Anolis sagrei: one gene and its partner. The protein of the gene in region 2 interacts with the protein of the main gene of each other region in a pairwise test. Links are inferred from orthologs where the notes say so. Each region holds a gene or a part of one and is shown on either strand. Other genes may lie near its edges.

Region 1 (10,736 bases), on a different chromosome or scaffold from region 2:
CCAACTCGTCCACATCGATGTCCAGGCTCCCATCTGGCGTCCGTTCCGGAAACTCCTCCGACTTCACTGACCCGTCTCCAAGTTCGGGGGCCGGGAGGCGTTTCTTCATGTGTCGCCGTCCGCACAGCTCCAGCGTGTTGAGGGCAACTGGGGGGGCGGGGGGGGGGGGGAGGAGGGATCAAAGGTCAAAGGTCAAGTGGAAGGTCCCGGGTTCAAATTCAAACCAAAATACTCCCAAGTTTCCTTATTGTTGTTGTTTATTCGTTCCGTTGCTTCTGACTCTTTGTGACCAAGTTTCCTAGAGAACCAATTTTGGATCATAACTCCCAAAGGTTCAGTATCACTATGACTGGGAGCGATGGGCTCTGTAGTCCAAAATTTTATATACCTGAGACCCCAGAATAGATAAGAGTTGGGCCAAGCTTCGTCTCTTTTTGGAGACTACAAACACGGACAGATTCATTGACTTGACTGCTTGAGGACATCATTCAGATGTTGTTGGACTACAACTCCCATCAGTCCTGGCCAACGTCAAAACTAATAGGAAAGTCTCAGCATCAAGACCACCTCTCCAAGGATTTCTCCCTTGCAACCAGGTGAAATTCAATGGTTTGGTGGCTGCAATTCCCCCGAAAGTGGCTTTTAAAAACCCAGGATGATGGGAAATGTAGTCTCCAGAATACCCAAGAATGGTGGCTGCAATTCCCCCGAAAGTGGCTTTTTAAAACCCAGGATGATGGGAAATGTAGTCTTCAGAATACCCAAGAATGGTGACTGCAATTCCCCTAAAAGTGGCTTTTCTTAGCCCAGGATGATGGGAAATGTAGTCTTCGGAATACCCAAGAATGGTGGCTGTAATTCCCCCGAAAGTGGCTTTTAAAAACCCAGGATGATGGGAAATGTAGTCTCCAGAATACCCAAGAATGGTGGCTGCAATTCCCCCGAAAGTGGTTTTTTAAAACCAAGGATGATGGGAAATGTAGTCTTCAGAATACCCAAGAATGGTGGCTGCAATTCCCCCGGAAGTGGCTTTTTAAAACCCAGGTTGATGGGAAATGTAGTCTTCAGAAATCACTGTGGGTGGGTCTATCCAGGGAACTGGACATAAAATTACTATTTATGACCCTACCGGGACTCAATTCTGAACTGGATCCTTCTAGATCCTCTCCGGAGATCTCTTCTGGAAGAGGCCTGTGAAACAGAAGGAGTTGTAAGACGGTGGAGCATCTATATATTTAACATATTTCTTTGATTCTAAGGCATGCTTTTCCTCCCATATAAACATCTCTAAAAATGTAGCGCACCTTAGAATCATACACACACACACATATATACACACACACACAAACAATATAATAATACAATAATAGCTATATCAATATATTGTATATTGGTATATCTAATCAATATATTGTATAATAATACAATAATAGGTATATCTAATCAATATATTGTATATTGGAATACCTAAACAATATATTGTATAATAATACAATAATAGGTATATCTAATCAATATATTGTATATTGTATACATAATCAATGTATTATATAATAATACAATAATAGATATATCTAATCAATATATTGTATAATAATACAATAATAGATATATCTAATCAATGTATTGTATATTGGTATACCTAATCAATATATTGTGTATTGCTATACCTAATCAATATATTGTATAATACCTCCTACATAGGTATATCTAATCAATATATTGTATAATAATACAATAACAGGTATATTGAATCAATATATTGTATATTGGTATACCTAATCAATATATTGTATAATAATACCATAATAGGTATGTCTAATCAATATATTACATATTAGTATACCTAATCAATATATTGTATAATAATACAATAATAGGTATAACTAATCAATATATTGTGTATTGGTATACCTAATCAATATATTGTATAATCATACAATAATAGGTATACCTAATCAATATATTGTGTATTGGTATACCTAATCAATATATTGTATAATAATGCAATAACAGGTATATCTAATCAATATATTGAATATTGGTATACCTAATCAATATATTGTATAATAATACATTAATAGTTATATCTAATCTATATATTGTATATTGGTATACCTAATCAATATATTGTATAAAACCTCCTATATAGGTATATCTAATCAATATATTGTATAATAATACAATAACAGGTATATTGAATCAATATATTTTATATTGGTACACCTAATCAATATATTGTATAAAATATAGGTATACCTAATCAATATATTGTATAATAGTACAATAATAGGTATATCTAATCAATATAGGATCCCTCGGTGGCGCAGTGGGTTAAACCGCTGAGCTGCTGAACTTGCTGACCGAAGGGCCACCGGTTCAAATCCGGGGAGCAGGGTGAGCTCCCACTGTTAGCCCCAGCTTCTGCCAACCTCGCAGTTTGAAAAAATACAAATGTGAGTAGATCAATAGGTTAACACTCCGGCGGGAAGGGAAGGGTATCGAACTGCATTAATTCTACAGTACAGACGCACTCTTAATAAGCCTTCCCTATGGGGCTCACCGAGGAAACCCATCGTCCTGCCATTCCTCCTTCAGCTCCATGTCTGTGATGTTCAGCGACTCATCTCCTTGCGTTACGGTTTCCTTCTTCAACCTGCAGCAACGAGAAATCGTGGCAAGCATACAGTGAATACAAAATAAAGCCTTTTATACATAAAACAGAGCTGTCAGTTTTGAATTTGCCGCTCCCCACCCCTTTGCCGGCTCGGCGATGATTGGCTGGTGCTCTACAGCTGGGTGGAGGCTCGGCTGCCTCCTGAGCGCCTCAGTCAATGGGTGAGCTTCTGCCGCCTCGGCCCCCTGGCCAATCAGGAGAGAGGGAGGTGGGACGAGAGGGAAACAATGAAGTCTTGAGTGGATTATGGAAATATGTGGTGTCCAAATGGCCCGTGAGTCCTCAGGGGCCTTCAAGCCAGCCAGCTTATTGTCCTGAAGGGTGAGAGGGAAACAATGAAGTCTTGAGTGGATTATGGAAATATGTGGTGTCCAAATGGCCCGTGAGTCCTCAGGGGCCTTCAAGCCAGCCAGCTTATTGTCCTGAAGGGTGAGAGGGAAACAATGAAGTCTTGAGTGGATTATGGAAATATGTGGTGTCCAAATGGCCAGTGAGTCCTCAGGGGCCTTCAAGCCAGCCAGCTTATTGTCCTGAAGGGTGAGAGGGAAACAATGAAGTCTTGAGTGGATTATGGAAATATGTGGTGTCCAAATGGCCAGCGTCCTCAGGGGCCTTTAAGCCAGCCAGCTTATTGTCCTGAAGGGTGAGGGAAACAATTAGGTCTTGAGTGGATTATGGAAATATGTGGTGTCCAAATGGCCGGCGAGTCCTCAGGGGCCTTCAAGCCAGCCAGCTTATTGTCTTGAAGGGTGACAATCAACGTTGATGTCTGGCAAGCCTGCCAGGATCCGGATTTTCCTTGAGCTGGGATATGGAGACAATGGGGCAATCTTGGTTGAAGTTTCGGTTGAGGGAAGTTTGAATGAGGAAACAGATCAGGACGAAGTGTGGCTTTCCGAAGGTTCTTTGTCCTGCTGAGATAGGATCATTTATGCCAAGTGGGCATCTCCCTCTGGGGGTCAACTGTCACCAGAGCTTTGGCCTTCTCTGGGGCCTCAGCGAACTACAAATCCCGGGATCCGACAGCAGTTGGAAGTGGTACCAAACTGCATTCATTCTACAGTGTAGATCGATACCACCCTGTTGTATTTTTCTTACCAACTTTATGGGCTTTTAAAAAAAAACCAGACTCCGATAAGACTCGATTGTCAAGCTGTACCAGTTCCTGCTCAGCCGATCGGGCAGAAAAGGCATTTATTTTTACGGAGGGCGGATTTTGGTGGCATGCAAACAACACAAACAGAGTCATGGGGAGAAACTAAGTGTCACCTGCTTTTCGTCCTGGAATTTGGAGGTAGGCTGCCTCTGGATAGGGAGGCTCCACGCAGGTGACTTTTGGAGTTTTCTATCATAACAATAGAAAGGGTTTCTGGAATGTATATATGCCGAGAAAGACAGGATACATACATCTATTGCCTGCTTCACTATCCATCTATCTGTTTACCTATCCATCTAGCTAGCTATTGATTATCCATTCATCTAGCCAACTATTTGTCTGCCCATCTGTCCATCCACCTATTGAATTATCTAACTAATTATCCACTTACCTTATCTATCTATCTATTCAACTGATTTATCCACTTCTCCATCCACTGACCTTATCCATCTATCCACCTATTGTATCTTTTTATCCATCTGGCTATCTATCCATCCACTTATTAATCCACTCATCTATCAATCCACCCAGCTATTTATTCATCCACCTATCTTATTAATCCACACATCTATCCATTTCATCTATCTATCTATCTATCTATCTATCTATCTATCTATCTATCCAGCTATCTATTTATTTATCCATCGACCAATTTACCTATCCATCCATCCATCCACCTTGTTAATGCACACATCTATCTATCCATCTATTTACCTATCTATTTGCCTATCCACCTTATCCCTTTATCAACCAATCGTATCTATTTATCTATCCGCCCATCTTATCTATCTACCTACCTACCTACCCATCCATCCATCCATCCGTCCGTCCGTCCATCCGTCAACTTGTCTTTCTATCCACCTGTTTATCTATCTGTCCATCTATCCATCTATCCATCTGTCTTTCTATCCACCTATCTATCTGTCCATCTTCCTGCCTATCCATCCATCCATGTCTCAATCTCCTTCTATCCACCTATCTGTCCATCTTCCTATCTATCTATCTATCTATCTATCTATCTATCTATCTATCTATCTTTCCATCCATCCATCCATCCATCCATCCATCCATCCATGTATCAACCTGTCTTTCTATCCACCTATCTATCTGTCCATCTTCCTATCTATCTATCTATCTATCTATCTATCTATCTATCTATCTATCTATCTATCCATCCATCCATCCATCCATCCATCCATCCATCCATCAACTTGTCTTTCTATCCACCTGTTTATCTATCTGTCCATCTATCTATCCATCCATCCATCCATCCATCCATCCATCCATCCATCCATCCGTCTTTCTATCCACCTATCTATCTGCCCATCTTCCTATCATCCATCCATTCATCCATGTCTCAATCTCTTTCTATCCACCTATTTGTCCATCTTCCCATCCATTCATGTATCAATCTGTCTTTCTATCCACCTGTCTGTCTGTCTATCTATCTATCTATCTATCTATCTATCTATCTATCTATCCATCCATCCATCCATCCAGCTATTTATCCATCCACCATTTTCCTACCTATTCACCTATCTGTCCACCTATCTTATACTTTTATTCATCTGTGCATTCATCCATCTACCCATCAGCTTTCCATAGCACCTATCTTATCAACCAACCAACCCACCCATCTATCCATCCACCCATCTAGATATCCATGTGTCTACCCATGCAGCTATTTATCCATTCACCTAGCTTATCAACCCACCTGTTATCTATCTGTCTGTTTATCTATCTATCTATCTATCTATCTATCTATCTATCTATCTATCTATCTATCCATCCACCCACCCACCCACCCACCCATCCATCCAGTTATTTATCCATCCACTCATTCACCTATAGTGTTCCCTCGCTACTTCGCTGTTCACTTCTAGCGGACTCGGTGTTTCGCGGTTTTCAAAAAATATTAATTTAAAATACATATTACGGTATTTTCGCTGTTTCGCGGGTTTTTGCCGCCGCTCTCCGAGGCGCTTTCCCTCCTTGGTCCTCCTTCCCTCCCATCAGCCTTGAAAAAATATTAATGTAAAATATATATTGCGGTATTTTCGCTGTTTCACGGGTTTTTGCCGCTGCCGCTCTCCGACATGCTTTCCCTCCTCGGTCCTCCTTCCCTCCCTCCCATCCTTACTTTCCTTCACTTTATTTTAAGTTTATAAAGACTTAAAATAGTGTATTACTACTAAAACAATGTTTAAATATTCAAATAAATATAGCGTCCCTACTTTGTGGATTTTCACTTTTTGCGGGAGGTCCTGGAACGTCACTCCCGCAATAAGTGAGACGGATTGGATCCGAGTCAATTGGAAAATGTCTGGTTTGTTTTGGTTTGCAAGGAAGATCCTCCTGGGAGTAACTTTGGACCAAGCTCTGATCAGGTAGAAGGGACTCACCTTTCGGGCGGCAGAGCAGCTTCCTGGGAGCCCATCTGGGCCGGAAAAGGTGCCGGGTCCCTCCTGTTCCTTTCCGGGAACCCAAATAGACGACCCAGGAACGGTTGGGACGTCCCACGAAACCGGCGCCGAAAGCCTCCTTGACTCACCCTGGAACTGGTTCTGCAGCATCGAAGGCTTAAGCCCGGTCACGGCGCCTGGGTCCTAATGCCGTGACAAATAGGGAGTTGTGTTGTTTGTTTAACAACACCCGGATTTGGAGAGGTGACATGCAGGGGGAAAAAATCTTTAAAAATGGGTGACTATGAAACAAACGACCAACGGGAACGCCGTTCGCCGAAAAGTCCGTTGTCAAAATACTCAATTTCCATTTCCTTCGATAGGTTGGAACAAAATATATATCCTCCGGTGGGAAATAAGCCTCTCTGATGTGTGTAAATGGGGTGGAAAAAAATCTAGCATGGCAGCATTCTTTCCTTGAATCTGGTGAAGTCGCTGAACCCAAAGGGGATTTTTCTCCAATGGTTCATCCCGGAAAGAAGTGACTCTTCGCATGCCAGCAAGAGGTTTCTCTCCTGGGCTTTTCAGTGCTGTTGTTGTTGTTCATTCGTTCAGTCGTCTCCGACTCTTCGTGACCTCGTGGACCAGCCCACGCCAAAGCTCCCTGTCGGCCGTCACCACCCCCAGCTCCTTCAAGGTCAGTCCAGTCACTTCAAGGATGCCATCCATCCATCTTGCCCTAGGTCGGCCCCTCTTCCTTTTGCCTTCCACTTTCCCCAGCATAATTGTCTTCTCTAGGCTTTGCTGTCTCCTCATGATGTGGCCAAAGTACTTCAACTTTGTCTCTAGCATCCTTCCTTCCAGTGAGCAGCCAGGCTTTATTTCCTGGAGGATGGACTGGTTGGATCTTCTTGCAGTCCAAGGCACTCTCAGCACTTTCCTCCAGCACCACAGCTCAAAAGCATCGACCTTCCTTCGCTCAGCCTTCCCTATGGTCCAGCTCTCACATCCGTAGGTTACTACAGGGAATACCATGGCTTGGACTAGGCGGATCTTTGTTGCCAGTCTGATGTCTCTACTCTTTACTATTTTATCGAGACTGGACATTGCTCTCCTCCCAAGAAGTAAGCGTCTTCTGATTTCCTGGCCACAGTCTGCATCTGCAGTGATCTTTGCGCCTAGAAATACAAAGTCTGTCACGGCCTCCACATTTTCTCCCTCTATTTTCCAGTTGTCAATCATTCTTGTTGCCATAATCTTGGTTTTTTTGACGTTCAGCTGCAACCCGGCTTTTGCGCTTTCTTCTTTCACCTTGATTAGAAGGCTCCTCAGCTCCTCCTCGCTTTCGGCCATCAGAGTGGTGTCATCTGCATATCTGAGGTTGTTAATGTTTCTTCCAGCAATTTTCACCCCAGCTTTGCATTCATCCAGCCCCGCACATCGCATGATGTGTTCTGCATACAAGTTAAAAAGGTTGGGTGAGAGGATGCAGCCTTGCCGTACGCCTTTCCCAATCTTGAACCCGTCTGTTGTTCCGTGGTCAGTTCTTACTGTTGCTACTTGGTCCTTGTACAGATTCCTCAGGAGAGAGACAAGGTGGCTTGGGATGCCCATCCCACTAAGAACTTGCCACAATTTATTATGATCCACACAGTCAAAGGCTTTAGAATAGTCAATGAAGCAGAAGTAGATGTTTTTCTGAAACTCCCTGCCTTTCTCCATTATCCAGCGGATATTGGCAATCTGGTCTCTCGTTCCTCTGCCTTTTCTAAACCCAGCTTGAACATCTGGCAACTCTCGCTCCATGTATTGCTGGAGTCTTCCTTGCAGGATCTTGAGCATTACCTTGCTGGCATGAGAAATAAGGGCCACTGTACGGAAGTTGGAGCAGTCTTTCGCATTTCCCTTTTTTGGTATGGGGATGTAAGTTGATTTTTTCCAGTCTGATGGCCATTCTTGTGTTTTCCATATTTGCTGGCATATGGCATGCATCACCTTGACAGCATCATCTTTTAAGATTTTAAACAGTTCAGCTGGGATCCCGTCGTCTCCTGCTGCCTTGTTGTTAGCAATGCTTCTTAAGGCCCATTCAACCTCACTCCTCAGGATGTCTGGTTCTAATTCATTCACCACACCGTCAAAGCTATCCTCGATATTGTTATCCTTCAGTGCTGTTGGACTTCTTTTATCAATGGCTTGGATGGAGGAAGGTTTAAAGCAGGGGTTCCCAACCTTTTTTTGGCCAGGGACCACTTGACCAGGGACCACTCGAAAAGAGACTAACTTGAACAGAGATCACAGTTGAACAGTGGCTACTTGAACAGGGACAACATTGACAAGGGACCACTTTAACAAGGATCACTTTGACTTAGGGACCATTTTGACCAGGGACCACTTGAACAGGAACCACTTTGACCAGGGACCACTTGAACAGGAACCACTTTGATCAGGGACCACTTGACTAGGGACCACTTTAAAAGAGCCACTTGACTAGGGTCCATGTTGACCAGGAACCACTTGACTAGGGACCACGTTGACCAGGGACCACGTGAATAGGGGCCACTTGAACAGGGACCACCTTGACAAGGGACCACTTGAACAGGGACCACTTTGCGCAGGAACCACTTGAACAGGGGCTACTTGAACAGGGACAACCTTGACAAGGGACCACTTTAACAAGGATCACTTTGACTAGGGACCATTTTGACCAGGGACCACTTGAACAGGAACCACTTTGACCAGGGACCACTTTGCCCAGGGACCACTTCAACAGGAAACACTTTGATCAGGGACCACTTGACTAGGGACCACTTGAAAAGAGCCACTTGACTTGGGTCCACGTTGACCAGGAACCACTTGACTAGGGACCACGTTGACCAGGAACCACTTGACTAGGGACCACGTTGACCAGGGACCACTTGAACAGGAACCACTGTACCTAGGGCCATCTTGACCAGGGACCATTTGAACAGGGACCACTTTGCCCAGGAACCATTTGAATAGGGGCCACTTGAACAGGGACCACCTTGACAAGGGACCACTTGAACAGGGACCACTTTGCACAGGAACCACTTGAACAGGGGCTACTTGAACAGGGACACCTTGACAAGGGATCACTTTAACAAGGATCACTTTGACTAGGGACCATTTTGACCAGGGACCACTTGAACAGGAACCACTTTGACCAGGGACCACTTGACTAGGGACCACTTTGCTCAGGGACTACTTTGCCCAGGGACCGCTTTGCCTGGGGACCACTTGAACAGGGACCACCTTGAATAGGGGCCACTTGAACAGGGACCACCTTGACAAGGAACCACTTGAACAGGGACTACGTGAACAGGGACCACCTTGACAAGGGACCACTTGAACAAGGATCACTTTGACTAGGGACCATTTTGACCAGGGACCACTTGAACAGGGACCACTTTGACCAGGAACCACGTGAACAGGGGCCACCTTGACAAGGGACCACTTGAACAAGGATCACTTTGACTAGGAACCATTTTGACTAGGGACCACTTGAAAAGGAACCACTTTGACAAGGGACAACTTGGACAGGGACCACTTTGACCAGGGATCCCCTTGACCAGGGACCACTTTTACCAGGAACCACTTTGCCCAGGGACTGCTTTGCCCAGGGACCACTTGAACAGGGACCACTTGAACAGGGACCACTTTGACCAGGGACCACATGAAAAGAGACTACTTGAATAAGGATCACCTTGACCAGGGACCACCTTGACCCGGGACCACTTGATCAGGGACCACTGTACCAGGGACCACTCTCCAACATTAGTATCGAAAGGGTTACGAATCAGTTTTTGCTCAACTTTAGATTTGGTTTGGTTATTTGTGGTGCTGATTCAGAAAACTGCATTGGATAGACCACATCAGCTCTAGTTTCTGATACAAAACATATGCCACCCAGTGGTTGCCATCTGCTCGCTCACAGAAAACCATATTTAATAATCTAGAGCTGATGTGGTAGTAGCAATCTTTCGTGGGTATGCAGCCTCTCTGCTCCCGACATCCCTGTTGCCGCAGCACGACAAGACGGTTTTGTGAGAACAGTCGCTCTCGTTGCCACGTGGTTTCAAGGAAAGGGTGTAGTAATAGTGAGGCCGTGGACCGTATTTTCACTGGTGGTCCGGGGGCTGGGCAGAAAAAGCTTCCCGAGCCGCAAAGCCATGCGGAAGAAGCCATTTTGGAGGGGGCGGGGCCAACCAAGGCAGCTTCGCGACCCCCCGAAAATGGCGCAACGACCCCCCTGGGGGTCGCGACCCCCAGGTTGAGAACCGCTGCACTAGTTTAAAGGCAATGAGGATCAAGTTTGCAAATGACACCAAATGGGGAGTGAGTGCTGAAACTCCAGAAGACAGGATGGCAACAAAAGCACCAAGGGCCTCTGAGCATGAGCTGAGTGCTTTTGCCATCTTTGTCCAAATTCAGAGGAGTTTCTTTGCAGGAACCAAGCTGCCGGCGTTGCTCAACAGCTCGG
Region 2 (11,490 bases):
TATTATATTTTAATATTTATTGCTATATTGTTTAATATTATTATATTTTATTATTTTGTTTCAACATACTATTTTTAATATTTACTAGCCATCCCCTGCCACGCGTTGCTGTGGCCCAGTCTGTGTATATTATTATTATTATTATTATTATTATTATATTTTAATATTTATTATTATATTGTTTTATATTATTATATTTTATTATTTTGTTTCAACATACTATTTTTAATATTTACTAGCCATCCCCTGCCATGCGTTGCGGTGGCCCAGTCTGTGTATATTATTATTATTATTATTATTATTATTATTATTATTATATTGTTTTATATTATTATATTTTATTATTTTGTTTTAACATACTATTTTTAATATTTACTAGCCATCCCCTGCCACACGTTGCTGTGGCCCAGTCTGTGTATATTATTATTATTATTATTATTATTATTATTATTATATTTTAATATTTGTTATATTGTTTTATATTATTATATTTTATTATTTTGTTTAACATACTATTTTTAATATTTACTAGCGATCCCCTGCCATGCGTTGCTGTGGCCCAGTCTGTGTATATTATTATTATTGTTGTTGTTGTTGTTGTTGTTTATTCAACTTGTATACAGCTACTCCCAATTTGGCTCGGAGTGGTTTACAGAAACAGATTAAAACAATACAATTAGCTTTAAAATGACCATAACAATAACAACATGTGTTTTGTGTGTGTATATGTGTATATATGTGGTTTTGCACATGCATTGTAATGTATTTTTTGCTTTTTAAGCCCTTTCTGCTGTGTTTTTCAGTGTTTTTATGAGTAATGGTCACTTGTCGGCCTGATTCGTGTCTTGGGTCCAAATTTGGTGTCCATTCGTCCAGTGGTTTTTGAGTTATGTTCATCCCACAAACAAACATTACACATTATTTATATAGATTGTTATATCTCATATTATATTATTATATTATTTTAATTTTTATGTGTCAGGAGTAACTTGAGAAACTGCAACAAACGCACATTACACATTATTCATATAGATTGTTATATCTCATATTATATTGTACTATATTATTATATCATTAAAAATATTTATTATTACATTATTTAAATTTTTTCGTGTCAGGAGTAACTTGAGAAACTGCAACAAACGGACATTATACATTATTTCTATAGATTGTTGTATCTCACATTATATCATATTGTATTATTATATTATTTAAAATATTTATTATTATATTATATCATTTTAATTTTTTTCATGTCAGGAGTAACTGCAACAAACGGACATTACACATTATTTATATAGATTGTTATATATCATATTGTATTATTTAAAATATTTATTATTATATTATATTATTTTAATTTTTGTGTGTGTCAGGAGTGACTTGAGAAACTGCAAGTTGCTTCTGGTGTGAGAGAATTGGCTGTCTGCAAGGATGTTGCCCAGAGGCTTCCCTCATTTCCCCGCATGGAGCTGAAGCTGACAGAGGGAGCTCATCCATACTCTCCTTGGGTTGAATTCGAACCGGCAACCTTCAGGTCAGCAACCCAACCTTCCAGTCATCACTCCTGCACCACTAGTGCAATTCTGCAAGTTGCTTCTGGTGTGAGAGAATTGGCCATCTGCAAGGATGCTGCCCAGAGGCTTCCCTCATGTCCCTGCATGGAGCTGAAGCTGACAGAGGGAGCTCACCCCTACTCTCCCTGGGTTGGATTCGAACCGGCAACCTTCAGGTCAGCAACCCAACCTTCCAGTCATCACTCCTGCACCACTAGTGCAATTCTGCAAGTTGCTTCTGGTGTGAGAGAATTGGCCATCTGCAAGGATGCTGCCCAGAGGTTTCCCTCATGTCCCTGCATGGAGCTGAAGCTGACAGAGGGAGCTCACCCCTCCTCTGCCTGGGTTGGATTCGAAACGGCAACCTTCAGGTCAGCAACCCAACCTTCCAGTCATCACTCCTGCACCACTGGTGCAATTTAATAATAATTAAAATATTATTATTATTTTATTATTATTATTATTATTATTATTATTATTATATATTATATATTATTACCAGCTGTTAGGAATTGTGGGAGTTGAAATCCCAACACACCTGGAGGGGGGGAGGGCCCAGGTTGGCCCATGCATGGTGTGTGTGTGTGTGTGTGTGTGTATATACACACACACACACACATACATACATACACACACACACACACCATGCATGGGCCAACCTGGGCCCTCCCCCCCTCCAGGTGTGTTGGGATTTCAACTCCCACAATTCCTAACAATTCCTCTATATATATATATATATATATATAGTATTTCCTGGAGTCTAATGCGCCATCGAATCTGATGCGCCCCTCCATGTTCAAAACCCTGAAAGCCACAAAAGTATTGACCATAGATGATGTGAATCTAATGTGCAGCCTGGTTTTGGGAAGGCAGTTTAGGGGAAAATAATAATAATAATAATAATCTTTAATTGTAACCCGCCCAAAGGGGTGCGCCTTAGATTTGAGTCAATGTGGTCCCTAGCGATGGGTGGGGTGCCTGCTTGGCTGCCTTCTGTGGTCCCCTGGCGCTCTGCCCACCTGTCTACCTACCTGTCGGGCGGGATGTGTAGCTTGTCCTGGAGGAGTGCGCAGAGGAGCTTGGAGTAGGCCTTGTTCTGGGCGGCCCCGATCTTGCCGATGCTGTGGAGGCTGCACAGGGCGCACGGCTCCGACGAGGAGCCCCCAAAGGACATGCGCTGGCCGGGAAGGACGTGCACCGCGATGTACTGGGGAAAGTGAAAGAGGGAAGGAGAGAAGGAAGGAAATGAAGGAGGGAAGGAAGGAAGAGGAAACAAAGGGTGGGAGGGAGGGAAGGAAAGACATGAAGGAGGGAGGGAAGGAAGGAAGGAAGGAAGGAAGGAAGGAAGGAAGGAAGGAAGGAAGGAAGGAAAGAAGGAGGGGAAAAAGGGTGGGAGGGAAGGAAGAAGGGAGGAAAGGAAATTAGAGGAAAGGGAAGGAAGGAAAGAATTAGGTAACAGGGTGGAAGGGAATGTAGAAGAGAAGAAAGGGAGGTAAAGAGGGGGGAGGGAAGAGAGGAAAGAAAGGGAACAAACAGGTGGAAGGGAGGAAAGGAAGGAAATGAGAGGGAAAGGAAGGAATTAAAGAGGTAAGGAAGGAAATGGAGGCAAGGCAGGAATGAACAAAGGGAGAGAAGGAAAGAAATGAAGGATGGAAGGGAAGGAAGGAAAGAAGGAGGGGAAAAAAGGTGGGAGGGAAGAGAGGAAAGAAAGAGGGAGGGAAGGAAAGAAGGGAAGGATGGAGGAAAGCAAAGGAAGGAGGGAAGGGAAGACAGGAAAGAAAGAGGGAACAAAGGGTGGAAGGGAGGGAAGGAAATGAGAGGGAAAGGGAGGAATTAAAGAGGGAAGGAAGGAAAGAAGGAGGGAACAAAGGGTGGCAGGGAAGGAAGAAGGAAAGAGGGAAGGAAGGAAAGAAGGCAGTAGCCAAGGGTGGGAGAGAATGAATGAAGGGAAGGATGGAGGGAAGGAAAGGAAGAGGAGAAGGAAAGGGAGGGAAGAGAGAAAGGAAGGGGGGAAATAAGTAGGTCACAAAGGGTGGAGGGAGGGAAGGAAGGGCGAAGAAGACAAGAGAGCATTGTCTGGGTGTGAGCTTTCTCTCAGAGAAGATTCCTCCCTCCCTCTTTCCCTCCTCTCATTCCTCCTCTCCTGGAATCTTTCCTCTTTCTTCCCTTCTTTCCTTCCTTTGCCCTCCCTTCCCATCCTTTCCTGTGTTCCCTCTTTCCATCTATTCCTTCTTTAGCATTTTGTTTTCCCTTCTCCCTTTCTCTCCTTCCTTCCTCCCTTCTCTCCTGGAATCTTCCTCCCTTTTCTCTTCCTTCTTTCCCCTTTTCCTCCCTCCCTCCCTTCCATCTTTCCTTCCTTCCTTGGTCTTTCCCTCCCTCCTTTTCTCTCCTTCTGTGTTCATTCTTCCTTCCGCCCACTTCTTCCTTCCTTTCCTTCCTTCTCTCCTTTCACCTCTCCTATAGTTTTCCCTCCTTCCTCCCTTTTGTCCTTCCTTCCATCCATCTATCCCTTCCTTGGCCCTTCCTTTCTCTCTCTGCCTTTCTCTCCTTCCATCTCTTCCTCTTTCTTTCTTTTCTTTCTCCCTTCACTTCCCTCCTTCCTTTGCCCTCCTTTCCCACCCTTTCCTCTCTTCCTTCCTTCCTTCCCTTCCTGAGCCTTTCCTTCCTTCCTTCTCTCCTGCAATCCTTTTTCTCTTCCCCCTTCTTTCCCTTCACTTCCTTCCTTCGCCCTCCCTTCCCATCCTTCCCTGTATTCCTTCCTTCCATAGCCTTTCCTCTCCTCCTTTCCTTCCAGACCTTCATTCCTCTCTCCTTCCTTCCTCCTCTCCTGGAATGTTTCCTCTATCCTTCTTTCCTTCCTTCCTTCGTTTTCCCTTCCCATCCTTCCCTCTCTTCCTTCCTTCCTGAGTTTTCTCTCCTTCCTTCTCTCCCTCTTCCTTCCTTCCTTTGTCCTGCCTTCCTCCTATCCTTTCCTCTATTCCTCCTTCCTTTCCCTCTTTCCCTCCTCTCCTTTCTCCTCTCCTGGAATCTTTCCTCTATCCTCCTTTCCTTCCTGCCTTTGTCCTCCCTTCCCATCTTTCCCCTCTCCTTCTCTCCTTCCTTCCTTTCTCTCTCTTCCCTTCCCTTCTTTCCCTCTTTCCCTTCCTCTCCTCCTTTCCTTCCAGCCCTCCCTCCCTCCCTCCTTTCCTGGAATCTTTCCTCTATCCTCCTTTCCTTCCTTCCTTCGTTTTCCCTTCCCATCCTTCCTTCCTTCCTTCCTTCCTGTGCTTTCTCTCCTTCCATCTCCCGCTCTTCCTTCCTTCCTTCCTCCTTCCTTCCTTCCCTTCCTTCCCTCCTTCCCTTCCTCTCTTCCTGACCTGGCTGGGCTTCCCGGTGGCCTTGGCCAGCTGGTCGGTGATCTCTGCGGTCAAGCTGTCCGGAATGCCTTCCGCCGCCACGTTGGTGTTCAGCACGAACATCGGCATCTTCCCCCAAGGAAGGAAGTCGAAGCAAGGAAGCCAAGGAAGGAAGGAAGGAAACAGAAGCCCGCCTGGGTCGCAATGCAGCGCAATGGCAGGAAAGGAAGGAAGGAAGGAAGGCAGGAAGGCAGGGAAGAAGGCAGTCTGTGCGTGCAAGCACGTAGCTGGCCAGGACCGGAAGAGGGCGGGGCCAGGGGAGGGGTGGCCACACCCCCTTGGGGGGGACACAGACACGCCCCCCGCGTCACGTGGGAAGGAGGGAGGCAGAGAGGGTTCAAACGAGGACAGCCTGGAAAAGGCAGACAAACAGGCAGACCCTCCTGGAGCCCGAAGGCAGGGAAGGAAGAAGGAGGAAGGAAGGAAGGAGAGCCCTCCCTCCCCTTGGCAGAGAGTTCCACTGCTGAACAGCTCTCCCAGTCAGCTTTCTAAACAAGCCCCTTGGTCTCTCCCTATGGATTTCCCGGTCCTCAAGCACTCTCTGCTTCATTTGGGAAAATGCTGCACTCACAGAGCTCAGGCGATGTTGTATTTCAGTCTCAATGTTGACATCTGTAGACAGTCCATGTTTCGCAGGCATAGAGCAGTGTTGGGAGGACAATAGCTTTATAGACAAACACCTTGGTCTCCCTACAGATGTCCCGGTCCTCAAACACTCTCTGCTCCATTCAGGAAAATGCTGCACTCGCAGAGCTCAGGCGGTGTTGTATTTCAGTGTCGATGTTGACATCTGTAGACAGTCCACGTTTCGCAAGCATATAGCAGGGTTGGGAGGACAATGGCTTTATAAACAAGCCCCTTGGTCTCCCTACGGATGTCCCGGTCCTCAAACACTCTCTGCTTCATTCAGGAAAATGCTGCACTCGCAGAGCTCAGGCGGTGTTGTATTTCAGTGTCGATGTTGACATCTGTAGACAGTCCACGTTTCGCAGGCGTAGAGCAGGGTTGGGAGGACAATGGCTTTATAAACAAGCCCCTTGGTCTCCCTACGGATGTCCCGGTCCTCAAACACTCTCTGCTTCATTCAGAAGAATCTTGGCAGAGAGTTCCACTGCTGAACAGCTCTCCCAGTCAGCTTTCTAAACAAGCCCCTTGGTCTCCCTTCGGATGTCCCGGTCCTCAAACATGCTCTGCTTCATTCAGAAGAATGCTGCACTCACAGAGCTCAGGCAGTATTGTATTTCAGTCTCAGTGTTGACATCTGTAGACAGTCCACATTTCACAGGCATAGAGCAGGGTTGGGAGGGGAATAGCTTTATAGACAAGCCCCTTGGTCTCCCTACGGATGTCCCGGTCCTCAAACACTCTCTGCTTCATTCGGGAAAATGCTGCACTCGCAGAGCTCAGGTGGTGTTGAATCTCAGTATCAATGTTGACTTTTGTGGAGAGGTGGCTGCCAAGGGAGCGGAAATGGTCCACATTTCACCTGGTGGGCCATCATCCAGCTCAACCCCATTCTGCCAAGAAGCAGGAATATTGCATTCAAAGCACCCCCGACAGATGGCCATCCAGCCTCTGTTTAAAAGCTTCCAAAGAAGGAGCCTCCGCCACACTCCGGGGCAGAGAGTTCCACTGCTGAACGGCTCTCACAGTCAGGAAGTTCTTCCTCATGTTCAGGTGGAATCTCCTCTCTTGTAGTTTGAAGCCATTGTTCCATTGCGTCCTAGTCTCCAAGGAAGCAGAAAGGAAGCTTGCTCCCTCCTCCTCCCTGTGGCTTCCTCTCACATATTTATACAGGGCTCTCATCATATCCCCTCTCAGCCTTCTCTTCTGCACGCTAAACATGCCCAGCTCTTGAAGCCACTCCTCACAGGGCTTGTTCTCCAGACCCTTGATCATTTGAGTCTCCCTCCTCTGGACACATTCATAGAATCATGGAATCATGGAATCCTAGAGTTGGAAGAGACCTCGTGGGCCATCATCCAGTCCACCCCCATTCTGCCAAGAAGCAGGAATATTGCATTCAAATCACCCCTGACAGATGGCCATCCAGCCTCTGCTTAAAAGCTTCCAAAGAAGGAGCCTCCACCACACTCCCTCCGGGGCAGAGAGTTCCACTACTGAACAGCTCTCCCAGTCAGGAAGTTCTTCCTCATGTTCAGGTGGAATCTCCTTTCTTTCCTGTAGTTGGAAGCCATGTCTCCCTTGCATCCTGGTCTCCAGAGGTTGGAGATCTTCTTCTGGAAGTATAATTAGATATCAACCAAGGAATCCTTTTGGGAGAGGAATCAACAGCAGAAGAAATAAGTCATGAAAAGTAATGTATGGACTCAAGAGGCTGGGGGACCCAAGCGGATGGACTGGATGGCCTTTGGGGGACCATCCCAACTCTGCCATCCCATCACTAGGATTCTATGGCTCACCCGGTCAGAGACTAAGGCGGCCATTCTGTCCGTCTCTCCCTCTTTCTTTCCACTTTGGCCAAAGGAAAACCAAAAGTTGATGCAAGCTAATTGTTGACCCTTTTCAAGTTTGCAGTTAATGCAATTTCTGGGCAGAAGTTGGCAGAAAATGCAGGAAGTGAGTTGACAAGGACCAATCAGAGAGCGGGAAGGGAGAGTGCCCCTTAGAAAGTAGTTCAAGACACACCTTGTCCAGCATTCGTTACTTAGGCATAGTGATAACGTTATCTACACCGATCTCTTTGAGCCGCTTTGAGTTCGCTTTAGGGAGATACAGCAAGGAATAAATACATAAAATAATAATAATAGTATCTGCAGTTCAACTACATATCATGGTTTTCTTTTTGTAATTGCAGTTCCTTTTGTACGTTTCGTTTGGTATTATAATTACTCACATTTCCTTTTGCAACTATGATTATTCTTGAGTGGTTACTTTTGTGTTGTAGTTACTTGTCATTACTGTTGCTGCTACTTTTGTACCTTTAGTTTTATGATGTCATTACTTACATTTCCTTTTTCAACACATTTTTGGAATTGCAATTACTTTTGTACATTTCATTTTGTATTGTAATTAATTACATTTCCCTTTGCAAATGCAGTTACTTTTGAGTAGTTACTTTTGCACATTTAGTTTTACAATGTTGTTACTTACATTTCCTTCAGCAACTGCAGTTACGTTTGAGCAGTTACTTTTGTGTTAGTTACCTGTAATTACTATTGCTGTTACTTTTGCACATTTAGTTTTATGATGTCATTACTTACATTTCCTTTTGCAACAAGAGTTACTTTTCAGCAGTTGCTTTTATGTTATAGTTGTAATTATTGTTAGTTACTTTTATACATTTAGTTGTACGATGTTATCTACATTTCCTTTTGCAACAAGTTACTTTTCAGCAGTTACTTTTGTGTTAGTTACTTGTAAGCACATTTAGTTTTACAATGTCGTTACATTTCCTTTTGCAACAAGTTACTTTTGAGCCGTTACTTTTGTATTGTAGTTACTTGTAATTATTGTTACTGTTATTTTTACACATTTAGTTTTATGATGTTGTTATTTACATTTCCTTTTGCAACAAGTTACTTTTCAGCCGTTACTTTTGTATTGTAGTTACTTGTAATTATTGTTACTGTTACTTTTGCACATTTAGTTTTATGATGTCATTACTTACATTTCCTTTTGCAACAAGAGTTACTTTTCAGCAGTTGCTTTTATGTTATAGTTGTAATTATTGTTAGTTACTTTTATACATTTAGTTGTACGATGTTATCTACATTTCCTTTTGCAACAAGAGTTACTTGTCAGCAGTTACCTTTGTGTTAGTTACTTATAAGCATATTTATTTTTATGATGTCGTTACTTACATTTCCTTTTGCAACAAGAGTTACTTTTCACCAGTTGCTTTTATGTTCTAATTCATTGTAATTACTTTTGCAGTTACTTTTATATAATTAGTTTTACAATGTAGTTACTTACATTTCTTTTTGCAACTGCAGTTATTTGGGTAATTTGCATTATAATTAGTTGCCGTTACTTGTAGTTACTATCAGTAATTCTTTTGTGGTGGACAGACACAGATAACAAGGATGCAAAGTAACTTAGAGAGCGAGAACAGTTGCTTTATTAACAAAAAATGGAAGCATAAATTTGGATTTCTAGAAAGAAGGAATTTTGGGGTCCAAAAATCTATCCCCCCCCCCCCCCCCCCAATCCTTATAATTTGGTGCAGAAGGCGGGGGCGTCTGGGGCAGCGCTCGTTTCCAATTCCTTCTTGAAATTGATCTTGTCGAATTCCTTCCGGATTTCCATGATCGACTTCTCTTTGGTTTCCGGAAGATAGAAGTAAACGAGGAAACCGGAGAGATACAAGACGGCCATGAAAAGCAGGAAGCAGAACTGGCCAAAGTGTTCCTGCAGGAAGGAGAAAAAGAGGAAAATTACATTCATGTTAAATCAATTGTTCTACAAAAGTAAAAATTTAAAAAATATTTAATATTTTAAAAATATTTAAATTAAACCATTTTTCATATTTTAAATATTTTAAAATATTTAATATTTTGAAATATTTAAATTAAACCATTCTTCATATTTTTTTAAAAATGATTAATTTTATTTTAAATTATTGAAATTTAAAATGGAATAAAAAAATTTAAAAACAAGAAAATTAACCAAACTTAAAATATTACATAGAAAATTCTTAAAATATTACATAGAAAATTCTTCTAAATATTTTTTTAAATGATTAATTCTATTTTAAATTACTGAAATTAAAAATAGAATAAAAATGTAAAAATAAGGAAATTAACTAAACGTAAAATATTACATAGAAAAATTAAATTCATATTAAATTAATTTTTAAGTAAATATTTTAAAAATATTTAATATTTAAAAAATGATTAATTCTATTTTAAATTACTGAAATTAAAAATAGAATAAAAATGTAAAAATAAGGAAATTTACCGAACTTAAAATATTACATAGAAAAATTAAATTCATATTAAATTAATTTTTTTTAAAAAAAGTAAATATTTTTAAAATATTTAATATTTTAAAAATATCAAATTAAATCATTCTTAATGTTTTTTTAAAAAATGACTAATTCTGTATTAAATTATTGAATTTTTTTAAAAAATGTAAATATTTTAAAAATATTTAATATTTAAAAATATTTAAATTAAATCATTCTTCATATTTTTTAAAAAAATTATTAATTCTATTTTAAATTATTGAAATTAAAATTTTAATAAAAAATTAAAAATAAGGTAATAAACTGAACTTAAAATATTACATAGAAAAATTATTGAAATTAAAAATGGAATAAAAAAATTTAAAAATAAGGAAATTAACCAAACTTAAAATATTACATAGAAAAATAAAATTTGGTATTAAATTAATACAGATTTCAAAACTTAATTTAAGTGGATTTTTTTTAAAAAAAGGTTTAAAAAATTTAATTAATGGTTTAATGTTTTAAATAAGGCCGGGCATAAGTAAGCCTAAGAATAGTGGTTCTGATTGTAGGGATGGCGCAGGTGCGTGCCCCTTACTTACCACAATGAAGGGGAAGACCATCCCGATGACGAGGGTCCCGACCCAATTCAAGACCGCGCTGAAGACGAAGGAGGAGGGTCTCGAAGCCTGGTCAAAGATCTCCATGCGGACAGACGCCGTGGCCCCTGCTGTGGACCCAAGTGGGAGAAGAGGGCTGGGAAGGGAAGGGGCCCCAGGGGTCATCTAGCCCACCCCCCTGGGAGTGGGGTGCAGCAGCGCAAATGCCCAATGCAATCCTAGTCCATAGCGCCTAGGCCAGGCAACTTCAGCCCTCCTTCCCTCCAGGTGTTTAGAACTACAACTCCCACAATCCCTAACAGCTGCTAATAATACTATAACAATAATAAAAATAAGAATATAAAATGTTTTTAAAAATAATAGAATAATAATAGTACATAAAACAACATAATAATATATTATTATTGTACAAAAATTGTAATATATAATAATATAAACAATAATAAAATAACATAATTGCAACCGTAAAAATATAATATTATTATAAAGATAATATTACCATTATTTTTTAAACTTTAATTACATTTGGCCCAGCCATAAGACAATTAACTGAACTTAAAATATTACATAGAAACATTAAATTAATATTAAATCAATTTTTTAAAAAGTAAATATTTTAAAAATGTTTCATATTTAAATTGAATTCATATTTTTTTAAAAAATGATTAATTCTATTTTAAATTATTGAAATTAAAAATGGAAAAATTTAAAAACAAGGAAATTAACCAAACTTAAAATATTACATAGAAAAATTAACTTCATATTAAATAATGTAATATGCCATAGATTTTAATTGCGCACTGTATTTTGTTAAATGTTTATGCTTTTTGTGTTATGAGATTTTAATTGCTTTGTATTGTATTGTTGTTGCTTGTTTTGCTTGTATTGTTGTATTGTGGGCTCGGCCTCATGTAAGCCGCACCAAGTCCCATGGGGAGCTGGTAGCGGGGTATAAATAAAGTTTTATTATTATTATTATTATTATTATTATTATTATTATTATTATATGA

Evidence for each region.
Region 1: the proteins of MIF (region 2) and BNIPL interact in a two-hybrid assay, tested with the Homo sapiens proteins (2 studies listed by BioGRID and IntAct). The link is inferred for Anolis sagrei from reciprocal best matches to the Homo sapiens genes MIF and BNIPL.

The regions. Positions count from the first base shown.
Region 1 is NC_090032.1:5,210,912-5,221,647, reverse strand, and holds the start of BNIPL (bcl-2/adenovirus E1B 19 kDa-interacting protein 2-like protein), read right to left. Parts: upstream 4,648-10,736; 5' UTR 4,087-4,647; coding exon 3,947-4,086; intron 2,657-3,946; coding exon 2,564-2,656; intron 1,192-2,563; coding exon 1,130-1,191; intron 148-1,129; coding exon 1-147. UniProt on the Homo sapiens protein: May be a bridge molecule between BCL2 and ARHGAP1/CDC42 in promoting cell death.
Region 2 is NC_090026.1:764,403-775,892, reverse strand, and holds the start of MIF (macrophage migration inhibitory factor), read right to left. Parts: upstream 5,202-11,490; 5' UTR 5,021-5,201; coding exon 4,913-5,020; intron 2,764-4,912; coding exon 2,588-2,763; intron 1-2,587. Other genes in the region: solute carrier family 2, facilitated glucose transporter member 11-like, read right to left, coding at 9,125-9,322, 10,463-10,590.